2 linked regions of the Nothobranchius furzeri genome follow. The protein of the gene in region 1 interacts with the protein of each later gene in a biochemical or structural test. Links are inferred from orthologs where the notes say so. Each region holds a gene or a part of one and is shown in the gene's direction. Other genes may lie near its edges.

Region 1 (2,463 bases):
ATTAAAAATAAAGGCGCCCGGCCCGGCCCGTGTCCGAGGTAATTACACAGTCGTTGGCCCGAAGCCCGGCCGTTGGGCCGGGCCAACCCGAGGGCCTAGGGCTTCAGTGCAGGGCTCTAACCAAGTCACTGCTTTGCAAGTCACAAGTCTTTCCAGTCAAGTCTCGAGTCAAAGACAACCAAGTCCAAGTCGAAACCAAAGTCAATGATGTGTAAGTCCAAGTCAAGTCCAAGTCCTTAACTTTGAATTTTCAAGTCATAATCAAGTCATCTGTCAAACTTCAATTTAATGACGATGATAATAAATAAATTCCAGAAATAAAACTTCTTAAAGCTTCATTTATTTGCTCGAACAAGCAGAAAGTGCAACTGAAACTGATTCTAAACGAAGTGCTGCTTCATTTAGCAGTAAATCAAACCCAGAACGAAAAATGATTTACGATTTTTGTCCATGTCGTGCCACTTTTGTTCAAAAATGGCAAATATGCTCAAGTCATCATCAAGTCAACAGATGCAAGTTGATTCACGTCGCAAGTCATTGGGGTTCAAATCCGAGTCAAGTCATAAGTCTTTATAGATTTTATCAAGTCAAGTCAGAAGTCATTAAAATAATGACTCGAGTCTGACTCGAGTCCAAGTCATGTGACTAGAGTCCACACCTCTGGTATGTAGGCTTTATACTGTAACTGTATGTACTGTATGTGTATACAATAATAAAATATTCAATATTTCAATGCTTACAAGTACTTGAAAATAAATATTTTCATAAAGAGCGCTTGAGCCATTTCCCCGCATTCTTCTCAAAATCCTCACACAACAATAGATTGTGGGCTGAAGTCCACATCGGTGTGAATTTCGGCTAAGTGTGGCTCAAGGGTGAAAAAAGGGGCGGGGCCAAGGGCCACACTTGAGAATCCTGACACCCTGTGCACTCACAAACTGGACAGGAACGCCAATTTGAGGGGTGCAAGCATGGAAGTACGAGTATTGGGACTAGGCCAAACAGTCCCGACTCCATTCTTCCTGGTTCCATAGCCATACATATGTGAGCTTGCAAGGTTGCCAAGTGTTCAACGCAAAGACTGCGCCAGCATTTATAGTTTGACACAGGCTGGCACAGAATGGAAGTCAGTAAAAGGAGCAGCCCAGAAGTAATTTGTAAACAAAGAGCCATGGCATCTCTACGCCGCCTTTAATGAGTAAAGAAGGCTAGAGGCTAATGTTGAGCTAACAATTTTAACAGTGAATTAGAAAAACGATTGTCGACTCTGACAATTTCTCAGACTTCCCATTTCAATTATGAACAATTCTACATTACAGTGGAATGTATTTATTTACTTATCAACTTACACTCGTCTTCACTTTTCATCTTGAATGTTCTGGTGGCTGATCTGTAACTGGCAACCAGCATGAAACTCATTAAGGGGAAGGGGAAGTGGGTGAAAGTGGACTCATTTGTTTTGATACATGGATCGCAGTACCTACATTTTACCACCAGATGTCATTCTTACTGTCACTGCAATTTTTCAAATAAATGTTTTTATAGTTTCCCCATGTTATAAGTAAATAAACTAAAGAAAAAGTTAGCAAATTGTTTTTCACATTATTTTTTGTGTTATTTATTACTTTTGTTTACTTTTCTGTGTCGTTTACAGCTGGGCCATCTGCAGAGCCGTTAGCTCAACGGCAAAGCTGCCAAGCTGCTGTGCGTAGTGTACAAACATTAAAAGTCTCCCAGATTTTTCTCAAACTGATATAAAAATAAAACCAACTTCGCATATGTTTCATCTAGGAAATCAAACAAAGTCAGCCCGCGCACATAGGTAAGGCAAGCTTTAAAGTTAAAGACATCCTGATGATGCGGTTTTATAGGTGTTAATGTTTGGTGAAATACCATTTCAGATTACCGATTATTCAAAATTATAATATGTCACATGGGGGTTTTACGGTAACTAACAGGAAATCCCCACAGAACGCCCAGGTGTTTTGAATTGTTGCACATTTGAACGCATCACTCTTTCAACAGCCAGAGTAAACATGGTGGTTCCTGTACACAAAGAGGCAGCCTGCGGGGTAAATATTAACCAGTCATAAAGCATATTAAATATATTTATGTACTTATTTAAAGTGCATGTTTAACAGGTTTGTGCTTTCTTCCTGCAGAGTCCGATGGAACGGTACAACCTGAACACTAATCCAAGAGGAGTCTGTGTAATTATAGACTGTGTGGGAAATGGTGGAGGTGAGACCTAAAACATTATAATGAGGTAAAACAAAATAGAATTTTGACAAATCGCTCACATTCTTTCACAGAACAGGTTAATGCTGTCACTTTATGGATTTCTGAAAAACTCATACGTAATTCCTGAAAGGGGGAACACTCCAGATTGCTGCTTTAATGCCTATGCAGTAATTTGGTTTTGTGATTTGCATTTTTGTGGAAAACTGAATTAAGGAATTAAAT
Region 2 (4,220 bases), on another chromosome or scaffold:
TAGTCTATAAATCCTTCAGGCATAAAACATTTCTGAAACTGGTGTAGTGTAGTGTAGTGGACATTTAAATCCTATTTTTTAAATTAGAATCGATGACAAAATACCAAAGATTAAACAATTTGAGAAATTAAAAAAAGGTACTTTAGCACACACACACACACACACACACACACACACACACACACACACACACACACACACACACACAAAACGGATTCCAAAAGATATATTGACTGAAAACTTGACATATGGTCGTTTCTATAACTGCACCATTTTCATTGACCTTCAGATCTACTGTAGACACATGTTTTAACCCCAACACTTCTTATTTTATCTTTCATATTCCTCGTGTTCCCAGTAAACCTCCCTGGTTCTTAAGCTGTTTTGAAAGCAATAATCGCAAATGTCAATGGAGCTAACTTTTGATTTTTCGTATTTTAAAACGCCACATTTGACACGTCATAATCTAAAACGGTCTCAAGTGTATAAACAATCACTGTCTAATGATTACATGTCTTTCTAGTTTAATGGCGATCCTTAGTTAGAGAAACAGGAAGAAGTAGAAACAGGGCCCGGCCAGTGCCACATCACTAAATAAACAGGATAACCGAGAAACTCTCGTTACCAAACAACAGTGTCTAGAAGTAGCAATTTCAAATATAAATATTATACTCACGACGAGTCTATTTAAAACCTGAATGTAAATGTAAAATGCTAGCTTATGAGCTAATGTTTACGTCTACTTCCGGATTTTATTTAACGTCAACGTAATTTTCACTTGTTTTTAAAATAAGAATTTAAATTACAACATACCTGCCAAAATGCTAAACCCTTAAATCATTCACCAAAATGTAGGCAGAAGTTTCACCAGACAGCCTGAGCTGTCTTTTGTTGCTGTTCTGGATCTCGGAAGTGATGTGGCTGCTGGAGAAGAAGAAAAAACTTCCTACTTCGCTGACTCTAGGCAGGGCCACCTACTGGCTACATAGAGTACTTCGAATTTTGTGTTACACAACACAGGTGGAACTTTTCATTTGTATTACTTTTTATTTTATTTATTTATTTTTTTGCATTATTTTTACTTCATCCAAAAAACGGAGTTTTTTCTCTTAACAGCCGAAAACACATCTGTTGAAAAAGCCGACCTGAGATCGGCTGCCTGTTTTCTGCGGTGGCTGCTCAAAACCACACAAGCACGAAAAACTGACTGCAGATCAGAAATGGTAAAAACGTGACCTTACGTCATGTAACAAACAAAGAGGCTGTGATTGGTAGATAGACGAGTGTTGTGGTGCTGCCGTCACTGGGCACGCGGCACTGTGGAAGTTGCTAGATCCGCCAGCGAAAGAAAGGAAACAAACATTAGAAGGTGAGGCGCTATTAATTATCTTATCAAATTTAGCTGTTGGAATGTTTTTACGTGTTGTTAAATGTAATCTTCAGACCTTGGGGTTTATGACAGTTCTGTTTTTGTTAGTCATTAATAAAGTAACGTTTCAATGCTAAAACAAAATGTACGCGTTTTTTTTTACAAATGCACTAAAGGGGGACACAGCGCCATAGCAGCATATTAGCCTACGCTGGCTCCGTTAGCTTTAGCTTATTCGGCTCTTTAGCTTACTCAGCTCAACAGCTGTCCTGGCTGGGTGTTTAATGACCGTTTTTTTCTCCACAGAAACCGTGACAGGATACATAAACTCGTATAAAGCGTAAAACCGTAACACAAGAGGAACGAGTCGTTTCAGGAGCCTCCAGCTGCTTTCATACACATTTTGCCTGAAGATAAAAACGACACCGCTGACTGGTTCGTGTGTGTGGAGAGCGTCAAGCTGAAACGGTAAAAGGCAGGAATGTTCAGCTCCACACACACTGAGCTCACGTACATTAACATTTTATATCCTGACTCCCGAGGAAAATACATTTCTATGTCATATTTTTTCAAAATCTCACATATATATTATAACTTAGTCGACTATAAGTATAAATAATGTCAGAAAATATGGTGTAAATAGTTGCATTTTCCCCAAAAAAGCTAATTATATTTTATATTTTTGTTTAATTTCCAATAACAATCAGTATTAATAGATTATTTAAAAAAATGCTCAACAAAATAGGGTAAATAACAGCAAATAAACCAAACTGGAGAACGTTTATTCAAACAATTGATAATTGTGTTAAAATATTGCTAAATTACTAAATTAGGTTAACATCCCCCAAAACTTCCTAACTTCCTAATATCTCCCAAAATAGCTTGAAAATGAGTTTTCTTCTTTTCTTTTTTTTTTTTTTTTTTGACAAAAGTTGCTTTTAAGAACCTCGTTTTCCTTAAATAGTAAGTGGAAGTCCTTCAAGCCCTTTCTCTAAAGATTTATGAGTTGTATCTGGAGTATGCATGAGGTCGGAGATTTTTCCAAAAGACAGGAAAAAGAATGCACAATTCTACAATTCAAGTTTGTGCCAAATAAAGTTATTTTAGTTTTCTTGTTGAAAACTACAATATGCTGTTTCAATTAGAAAAATAAAATAGTTTTAAACTTGCATGAAGTACTGAATAAAGTTTAGACACTGGACGCCTCTTACTGTAGGATGTGAGTTGTTAGCAGTCTTCAGATAATCTCCAGGAACCAAATTAAATGCAACAATTATTCTTTAAGTATATTAATCTAGACGTAAATGTTGCTATAGATAGAAACTGTTAAGCTAACATGTTTATTAAAGCTGTTTATTTGTTTGTCACTGAAAGGTGGAGCCCGGAGGCATTTGGGAGGTCATGTTATCTCATGATCCTACGTAACCATTGAACTTACACAGAATCAGGGTTGCTGCCACATTTAATTGGTTTTAGCAAAGATCAAATTGCTGTAACTCAGCCAGCTTTACAGATATGGACCTTAAATTAGTCGTGGCCGTTGTTGAGAGACATTCATTACTCTTGGTACTAACATTTCTGCAAGACTGTGTGTCACGTCAAGTTGTGTTTTTTGAGGATTCGACTAAATCGGATTTAACACACAGGTCAGATTTTTAAACCCTGGCATGAAAGGTAATGGGTGATGTACAAGGAATGTCGGGCCTTTATGTCATTGTTTCATTGGCTTTTTAGCAATATTTGTATTTTTCAGCTTGTAGCATTAAGGCTCTAAACTCATTTGTTTTTAATAGTTTTTCGTGGACTGTATGTTTGGAGGCTGGGCATCTACCTCCATATCTGTATCTTGTCCTTTGTTATGGTCCAGTAAAGTCATTCTTGTGTTCCTCTTTTTCTTAATTTCAGCTCAGGACAGAAGGTGGACAATCCCAGACTATGGCTACAGTGCATTTTCCAGGGCCCACCAACAGGGACTCGCTCTACTGGGATGAAACAGAATGCCTCAACTACTATGGGATGTTGTCTCTACATGAGATCTTTGAAATAGTTGGATGTCAGCTAACAGAGACCGATATAGAAGTTCTCTCTTTCCTTTTGAATGAAAGCTACTCTGCACCACACCCTCTCGACCCTGTAGGCTGGACTATTGAACCTGCTGAAGACGATCCAGAGGACTTGGGCTTGGCACCGACTCCACCGCTGCTGAAAGCGTGGGGACGGATAAAGCCCAAGGCATCCCAGCCATCGTCAGTGGACATAAAGCCTAAGAGTGGTGTTGGGCTGCTGTTGGAGCTTGAGAGACGAGGATATCTCTGTGATGGCAACCTGGAACCACTGCTGCAGCTGCTGAGAGTCCTCACTCGTCATGACCTGCTGCCTTTGGTGTCTCATAAAAGAAGGAGGACGGGTGAGGACTTTTAAACGAAAGTTCTTTACAGTTTGTTTTGTAAAACTCAAAGTATTTGTTATTCATGTTAATTTAGATGGCTCAGTTATAAATAATCTGTTTGTCTTCCCAGTGTCTCCAGAGAGAGTTGGACAGAGGTATGAAACGAACAGAACAGAGTTGGTGTTTGGACTGCAGCATACCTGCAGACAGACAGAGATCCCATTCTCATCTTTCACAAACCCATTTACCACCGGTGAGTGCACTGTCCAGAACCAAGGCCTACCAAACCAGCAACACACAAAGGTAACTGGGCCTTTCCACAGGACGCGTAAGCGTTAGGATTTGGGAGCGTTCCGTAAGATTCCAGAACACGTCAAACTCTGCAGTTCAGAGTGTTTGGGTTAGCTGTGGCGCCACTGCCGTTTCGTATCCGTGGCGTAGCGCCACACCTGAGCCTATGTA

The links.
Region 2: the proteins of CASP8 and FADD-like apoptosis regulator (region 1) and dedd1 form a complex in vitro, tested with the Homo sapiens proteins (2 studies listed by BioGRID). The link is inferred for Nothobranchius furzeri from reciprocal best matches to the Homo sapiens genes CFLAR and DEDD2.

What each region holds. Positions count from the first base shown.
Region 1 is NC_091754.1:17,632,928-17,635,390, reverse strand, and holds part of CASP8 and FADD-like apoptosis regulator, read left to right. Parts: intron 1-1,654; coding exon 1,655-1,704; intron 1,705-1,791; coding exon 1,792-1,822; intron 1,823-2,025; coding exon 2,026-2,072; intron 2,073-2,162; coding exon 2,163-2,241; intron 2,242-2,463. UniProt on the Homo sapiens protein: Apoptosis regulator protein which may function as a crucial link between cell survival and cell death pathways in mammalian cells. Acts as an inhibitor of TNFRSF6 mediated apoptosis.
Region 2 is NC_091745.1:74,797,122-74,801,341, forward strand, and holds the start of dedd1 (death effector domain-containing 1), read left to right. Parts: upstream 1-1,264; 5' UTR 1,265-1,369; intron 1,370-1,675; 5' UTR 1,676-1,837; exon of another isoform or gene 1,838-1,844; intron 1,845-3,274; 5' UTR 3,275-3,304; coding exon 3,305-3,776; intron 3,777-3,888; coding exon 3,889-4,011; intron 4,012-4,220. UniProt on the Homo sapiens protein: May play a critical role in death receptor-induced apoptosis and may target CASP8 and CASP10 to the nucleus. May regulate degradation of intermediate filaments during apoptosis.